2 linked regions of the Coturnix japonica genome follow. The protein of the gene in region 1 purifies or fractionates together with the protein of each later gene. This does not show direct contact. Links are inferred from orthologs where the notes say so. Each region holds a gene or a part of one and is shown on either strand. Other genes may lie near its edges. The genes, in order: nuclear cap-binding protein subunit 2 and KPNA3.

Region 1 (3,905 bases):
CATCAGTGCCTTCAGCTCCGATCTGAAGTTAAACCAAACAGCAAATCCTGTTTGAGAAGTGGTGGACTTCAGAAACATTCAAATATGTTCCTGAACAAATCCCATTAATCTGCTGTATTGCTGAAACAGCCTGACATATGTTTCTGTCAAGTCCTTTTCCAGGCCTAGCAAAACATGACCTGATTTACCCCATCCATCTGGGATGAAGTTTTCTCACATGCATTCATACATACAAAATTTGTGCAACAGCACATCGCCACATCCAAAACACAACTGAATCCCCGGCAGCTTTCAGAACACATTATGTACATTGTAAGCAGATGTTGTGAAATTAGAAAGGGCTGGAAAAGAGAAGTGTATCAGATTTGAAAACACATCTATAGTGTGACTTTAACTCTTTGGCCTGTATTGAATTGTAAGTGGTGGAAAGGACCCTTTGGGGCCATTTGATTCAGCTCCCTGCACTGAGCAGGGACACCCACAGCTCTGTCAATGCTCAGAGCCCACCCAGCCCGACCCTGGGTGTCTGCAGGGATGGGGCACCCAACTGATCTCCGGGCAACCTGTGCCAGTGCCTCACCACTCCTACAGTAAGAAACATCTCCCCTATATCCAATATAAATCTCCCTTCTTCTAGTTTGAAACCATTTCCCCTAGTCCTGTCACAACAGACCCTGCTACAGAGTCTGTCCCCTTCCTTCTTACAGCCTCTATCTACAGGCTGCTCTCAGCCCTCTTGAGCCTTCCCTTCTCCAAGCTGCACAGCCCCAGCTCTCAGCCGGTCCTCACAGGAAGGTGTTCCAAGCCCATGGTCATTTTTGTGGCTCTCCTCTGGACACACTCCAACAAGATTAAGTGGTTTAATCGTCCTCAGTAGCAACCCAGAAACTTCTGATGTTATCAGATAAACAACAAAAGCTATGGACTGGAAACTCTCGTTAAAAGCTGATGCAGCTTTGCACAAAGGTAATAAACCCTGATAACCCAACGTTGCGGACAAGCCGGCAGTGCTGAGCGCCCCATGCACGGGGAAGGACAGGCGGTGCGCGGCCTGCTACCTCCGCCGCGCTGCCGTCCGCCTCACTGAGGGCCCCCGCCGCCTGGAACAGCTCCTCGGTGAGGGCCGCGATGCGGGGCGGGGCCTCCTCCCTCAGCAGCTCACGGAGCAGCTCTGCAAGACAAGCCGGGAGGGAAACGTCAGGCTGAGCGTCGGAGCGGCTACGCAGCCGCAGCCGCAGCCGCAACCGCAGCCCCCGGGCGGCGATATTGAGCGGCCGGTACCTCCCGCCGCCGCCATCCGCCCGCCCACCATGGCCGACACCGCCCTGAGGAGAGCGCCGGGCCACCCCGCGCTGCATGCAGGGAGCGAAGCGGCGCGCGGTGATTGGCTGCTCGGCACGATCGCCCCGCCTTTCCGCCCCGTGTAGCCAATCAGGCTGCGCGGCGGTTGGCCTGCCCGCTAGGCCGCTGTCCTGCGGGAGTCGCGGCGGTTGTGGAAGGATCCCGGGATCAGGGACCTGCCGGGAGCCGGCGAGACAGAGAGATGTCGGGGCTGCTGCACACCACGCTCAGCGGGCTCAACAGCGACTCGTACTGCGAGATCAGCCGATACCGGGACCAGCACTTCCGGGTGCGCGCGGGGCGGGGGCAGCGGGGCCTGAGGCCGAGGGGCCTGTCTGGGGAGGGGGCTGCGGGCGGGGCGGGGCCGGGCTGCCAGGATGTGATGTGCCATAGTGTGGCCCCGTCACGGTGTGGCCCCGTCACGGTGTGGCCCCGTCACGGTGTGAGCCCGTCACGGTGTGAGCCCGTCACGGTGTGAGCCCGTCTCGGTGTGGCCCCGTCACGGTGTGAGCCCGTGCTGTGCTCCGCTTTGCCCTCAGGGGAGCAAAAAGCTTCAGGAGAAGTTCCTGAAGATCTCCTCCACGCTGTACGTGGGCAACCTGTCCTTCTACACCACCGAGGAGCAGATCCAGGAGCTGTTCTCCAAGTGTGGCGATGTCAAGAAGATCATCATGGGGCTGGACAAGGTGAAGAAAACAGCCTGCGGCTTCTGCTTCGTGGAGTATCCTTTCTGGGCCCTATTTGCAGTAAGATCAGCTGTCAAAAACCCTGAAAGGAGTGAAACTCACGGGGCTCCCTTCCAGGCATACTGCTGCCTGCATTCCCAACACCACCCAAACCACCCGCATTGCCATAGGTGAAAGTCGTGTGTGGATGCTGAGCCCTTGTACGGCCCAAGCTATGGGCACGTGTTCACGTTCTCACCTTGGCTTCACACCTGCAGAACCAGCAGGGAGATCCGTGGTGCTGTTCCCAAGCACAAGGCATGTGCTCGTACACGTTGTGCTGCGAGCTGTTTGCAGAGCTCTCCTGTGAGGCCGGTGCCTCCTGTTCAAATTCAGTTGAGTTTAATGTGGTATTAAAAAAAAAAAGCATCAGATTTCTTGCCCTTAGCAAGGCTTTAACGGTTTGCTTTATCTACTTGTGAAATAAGTGATCCAAAGCTGTTTCTTGTCTGTACAGGTACTAACATTGCAGCCAGAACCTGAGGAAGGAGTGGGAGCTATTTTCAGCTTGGATTTATAGAGTACAGCTTTTTGATCCCATAGAAAAGAGCGGGAAAAGTAGAAAAGGCTGGAAGACAGGAAAGGTTCTTCTGCTTCTTAAATACAATGGCTTGATATTGGTGTTTTTTTTACCCTACAGGCAGCAAAGTGGCATGTTTAGTTTTCCTTATGGTATGGTTTAGATATTACACAAGAGCAGATGCTGAGCACGCAATGCGATTCATCAACGGCACACGGCTCGATGACCGCATTGTTCGAACAGACTGGGATGCAGGATTCAAGGAGGGACGGCAGTATGGAAGAGGAAAGACTGGTGGACAGGTAAAGGCAATACCAGCTCAGGCCTTGAATACAGTCCCCCTAGGGCAGTGCTGTTTTGTTTGTTTTGTCTCATTCAGAAGTGCAGACCCAGCAATGAATTTTAGGTGATATTGGTAACTAGTGCTACCTTGGTATAAAGAGCTGGAAGCATAACTATGGCTACAGCTGGACAGGACTCCATGACTCCTCACAGTACAAGCGAAATTTTCCCTGTTCCAGGCTAGCAGTTTTTAAATGATGCAGAATTTGAATGGGGAGGGAGCACAATTTCTAGATCCATGATGGATTCATGATCCATCAGTTTGCCCTGTGAGAAGCTAAATTTCCCTTACAGATTTCTGGAGGGTTGGGGAAGGGAGAAACGCTCTGGAGGCCAAGCTTAGCAGTTCAGAGAGTTGGAAGCTGGATGACAAAGCTGAATCAAAATATTTTGGGATCTTTGCTTCCCCTCTAAAATGATCTGACAGCAGATGTATCCTCATTTGTCACTTGCACCATCTGTTTGGTGGATTGTTTGAAGAGATTTCAAACTGAGTCAAAGTAATTCTCACCTGAACTTCATTTCTCAGACTACGGAGCAAGGAAGTGGTGATGATTCTGAAGCCTAACATGATGCTAATACTTGTGTTACTGCCTTGCTCCAGGTGCGAGATGAATACCGGACAGACTACGATGTGGGAAGAGGAGGTTTTGGCAAGATTATACAGATGCAGAAGGCAAATCAACAGCCTGCAGTCTACTAATTGCCTCATGGGTTCTAGCTCGTAGAGGGCTCTGTTCTTCTTGAGCTAGCCGTGTTCTTGCGTTTTGGATTGGGGTAGGGAGTGAGATCCAAGTTCCAGCAAAAGGTGACCCTCCTTAGACTGTGGATATACATGTGTTCATTCCCCCTTTCTTCTGGATTAGAGAGGATGTTCTGTGCTGATACAGGGCAACAAGGGAAACAAGTGGACAACTCTGCAGGATTCTGGTAAGAAGAAATGCAGCATGTCACACGCACCTCATGTTAGGATGTAC
Region 2 (3,905 bases), on another chromosome or scaffold:
CCTCAGCCTCAGTACACTTCCCATTTTTTATTCACAAGTTTTCCACTTTACCTCATAGGTTATGTTGAATGGATCTGAACAAAGTCCCTTTGTTCGTGGCAATGGCTAGCAGCTCCTCCAGAGGATAAACGCAACACCCCTGTCTGGCAGTGGCTGCGCCGGCACTGCTCTGATGTCCAAGCGGCTCTGAGCAACCGCAGCTGGCGGCCGCACCACCTTCCTTGGCGGGCAAAGAGAAGTTCTCAGCTACTGAATCTGCTTCGGCAGCTCTCCTGAAGACAGCTGGGCAGCTGGATCCCATTCTCCTTCACAGCAGCGAGTGTCAGGCCTAGAAGCCACCTTGACGTGGCTGGGTGTGAATGTGACATGGCTTGAGGTTTCTGAGGGAACTGGGTGCTATTTCCAAGAAACATGCTCTTCTTGAGGAGAAGCTGAAGGAGCTGGGAATGTCCAGCCTGGAGGAGGCTCAGGGGAGACCTTACAGCTCTCTATAACTTCCTGAAGGGAGGTTGTAGTGAGCTGGGGGTTGGCCTCTTCTCTTGTGTTGTTAGTGATAGAACTAGAGGGAATGGTTTTAAGCTGCGCCAGGGGAGATTCAGGCTGGACATTAGGAAGTATTACTTCTCGGAAAGGGTAGTCAGGCATTGGAATGCACTGCCCAGGGAGGTGGTGGAGTCACCGACCATGGTGGTGCTCAATGAACATTGGATGTGGTGCTGAGGGCCGTGGCTCAGTGGGAGCTGTTGGTAACAGAGCTGTTGGTAACAGAGCGGTTGGTAACAGAGCTGTTGGACTGTTTGATGATGTCGGTCCTTTCCAACCCTGGTGACGCCGATTCCCCACATCACCCTCTCACTGTCCGCCCCATCCTCACCTCAGCGCTCTCACACAGCGGCGCTCAGCGCACCCTCAGTCCCTCACACCGCAGTTCGCACATGGCCGTGTTCCCTCATTAGCTGTAGCTCCGTCTGTCCGCACTGTGCTCCCACACTCGTGTCGCTCCCCGTGTCCTCAGGCCTTGGCGCGGCGCTGCCGGCTCCTCCCGCTCCACGTGCGAGGCCGCCGCCCGCTGCGGACTACACCTCCCAGCACGCCCCGCGCCAACGCGGTGCACACCGGGAAGCGCGCTCCGTCCTTCAGCCCCAAAGGCGCAAGCGCGGCGGGCAGGGGGCGGGGCTTAGCGGCCGGATCCGCGCTGTGATTGGCTGCGTGCCGCCCGCCGCTCTGGCAGTCACTGGGCAACGGCGGCGCGCCCCCTCCCCCCCTCCCCTCCCCCTCCCGCCATTCTCCTCCCGCCCCCCGCGGCGCGCGCTCGTCACGGCGCGTCCCCCGCCCCGCTCTGCTCCCCCCCGCCCCTCGCTCCAGCCGCTGCCGGAGCCGCCTCAGCCGCCGGGAGCAGCCGCCGCCATGGCCGAGAACGCCGCCGCCTCCGCCGGCCTGGAGAACCACCGCATCAAGAGCTTCAAGAACAAGGGCCGCGACGTGGAGGTAGGCGACGGGCCGGCGGGGCCTGGCCTCCGCCTCCTCCTCCTCCTCCGGCAGCGGGCGGGCGGCGAGAGGAGGGGCCGGGGCCGGGGCCGGGGCCGGGGCCGGGCCGCGCTCGCGGCGCTGCCGGCGGGAAGAGGCGGCCGGAGGGGGGGGAAGCGCCGCGGAGCCTCCGTCACTCGGGCGCGGCCGACGGGAGCGGGGGGTGGGACGGGGAGGGGGGCGGCCCCCGGCACTGCCGCCCCCGGGGCCACGGAGCGGACAATGGTGCCGCCGCCTTTTGTGGCCGGGCCGGAGCCGTGCGCCCATCCCGGGGCCGCTCCTCGCCTCCTGTGGGGCTTCCCGGCCCGCTCCGCCCGCAGTCAGCCTGCCGTGCTGTGTCTAAGTGTCGGTAGGCGCCGAATTGGCGGCTGGCTCAGTCGGAGGCACCACCGGGGCGATGTGGGGCTGAAGGCCCGTCTGCCCCCCGGCAGGGATCGCTCCGCAACGGGGCTGGGCTGGGAGCTCATCCCACCCCTGTTGTGTTTGAGGTTCTGTAACGGGAAGAGAAAGGGGTGGGAGCCGTGCTGGAACCTCAGCGGGGCTCGAATCAGATGAGGGTTCACAGGAATGAAAGGCTCAGGCCGTGTCAGTGTGCGCTGACTTCTCCTAAGGGTGCTCCTCACCTCCAGTGCTATCACCGAGATGGACTTCTGCGATCGGCCCTTAGGATCGCGTGTGGTGTCTGTGCAGGATCCCCACCTCTGCTATTGTCTGGGTGGGGACGGCTGGCTGCGGGTCGGGCTCAGCGGCGGCGGTGCCTTGAAGCAGACATTCCCCCGATGCGAACTAATCTTTCCTTTAATTTTTTGCTGAACTTACGATGGTAGAGCTTCCTCGCAGTAATATCGCGTGTGAGGAGCTCTTTAACTTCAACGCTTCTGGGTAACGCTGGGAAACGTTAGGAAGTAGCTAAAAATTCCCATCTTTTCTTGAAGCAGTTGCTTCTCAGGGCAGGAGGAGGCGTGGTGGGTTCCTCCTTCCCTTCTCCTCCACCGAGGCTCTTCCTGTGGCTCCTCATTCATTTAAACCCATGCCTCAGCTGCCCGTGCTGCTCGCTGGCTTTGTTGCTGCTTCCTCAGCCCCTGGCCTGAATCCATCGGAGCTCCAAACAGGGAAAGGTTAGGTATGTCGATGCCCGGTGCAAACTGAGCCGTCATCCATCCTTCCTTATGTTATAGCGTGCCCAAGATGGGGGGGGGGGGAGGGGGAATTAAATATCTCCCTCTGTGTGTGGGGGGGAGAGGAGAATTGACAGCCTGAGCTTCACTGGGATTAGTTAGAGCAGCCCTGCTGAGGTCCCCCCGCTCTCAGGAGAATGTTTGCTCCTGAAGCGGAGTAATTATTTTGGAATAGGGTATTTGCAGTTCTGGAGAAGCGGATCCTCCAGGGTTATCTCCCAGTCTGCTGACTGGATCCTTTTGTGGCTGAGCTCAAGACTGTGCCGGATAACCACGTTAACTCTGCTGGAGCTGAAGCTGGCATCCCTGCTTTTGGGACAGGTCAGGAGCTGAGATGAGTCTTTTGTGGGCGCCAAGCAGATTAAACACAGGAATAAGTAACAGTAGAATGGATACTCACTAGAGTGAAATTTAGATTCATTTAAAAGAATTAGAGATGTCAGTGTCTGTCATGTCTTAAGGACAACTTAATTCCTATCACATATCTGAAATTTTCTACTGTACGTCCTTTTTGACTTGATTTTTGTTTTCTTGATCATGATCCTTATTTGAAAGCTCGAGTTCAAAGTGCTTCTATGAGTAAATTTTATGTAACTCGGGTGTCTAGAATTTAAGCTAAATTTATAGCAGAGAAAGAAAGAAGCGCAGCGGTGCTGTATAATTGCTATCACTTACTGTACTTATCCTCAGATACCACTGTATGTCCTGATGGTGTGTCCGTCTGTATTCATTGAGATGATCAGTTCTCACAGAATCACACAATGACCCGGGTTGGAAGGGACCTCAAGGATCATGTAGTTCCAACCCCCCTGCCTGGCAGGGCCACCAAACATACACATTTACTAGATCAGGTTGCCCAGGGCCCCGTCCAACCTGGCCTTGAACACCTCCAAGGACGGGGCATCCACAACCTCCCTGGGCAGCCTGTTCCAGGGCCTAACCACTCTCCTAGTGAAGAACGTCCCCCTAACATCCAACCTAAATCTTCCCTCTTTCAACTTGGTTCCATTTCCCCATGTCCTGCTATTGTCAGCCCTTTTGAAGAGTTTACTCCCCTCCTGGGTGCAGGTTCCCTTCATGTATTGAAAGGCTGCAATGAGGTCACCCCGCAAACTTCTCCTCTCCAGGCTGAACAAACCCAACTCCCTCAGCCTGTCCTCATAGGGGAGGTGCTCCAGCCCCCTGATCATTTCTGTGGCC

The links.
Region 2: the proteins of nuclear cap-binding protein subunit 2 (region 1) and KPNA3 purify together in Homo sapiens (co-immunoprecipitation; 3 studies listed by BioGRID and IntAct, with this or other methods). This does not show direct contact. The link is inferred for Coturnix japonica from reciprocal best matches to the Homo sapiens genes NCBP2 and KPNA3.

What each region holds. Positions count from the first base shown.
Region 1 is NC_029519.1:2,393,640-2,397,544, reverse strand, and holds the start of nuclear cap-binding protein subunit 2, read left to right. Parts: upstream 1-1,415; 5' UTR 1,416-1,543; coding exon 1,544-1,630; intron 1,631-1,880; coding exon 1,881-2,062; intron 2,063-2,749; coding exon 2,750-2,888; intron 2,889-3,532; coding exon 3,533-3,631; 3' UTR 3,632-3,905. Other genes in the region: TEX11 (testis-expressed protein 11), read right to left, coding at 1,059-1,171, 1,282-1,312. UniProt on the Homo sapiens protein: Component of the cap-binding complex (CBC), which binds co-transcriptionally to the 5' cap of pre-mRNAs and is involved in various processes such as pre-mRNA splicing, translation regulation, nonsense-mediated mRNA decay, RNA-mediated gene silencing (RNAi) by microRNAs (miRNAs) and mRNA export.
Region 2 is NC_029516.1:151,498,216-151,502,120, reverse strand, and holds the start of KPNA3 (importin subunit alpha-4), read left to right. Parts: upstream 1-1,310; 5' UTR 1,311-1,407; coding exon 1,408-1,488; intron 1,489-3,905. UniProt on the Homo sapiens protein: Functions in nuclear protein import as an adapter protein for nuclear receptor KPNB1. Binds specifically and directly to substrates containing either a simple or bipartite NLS motif.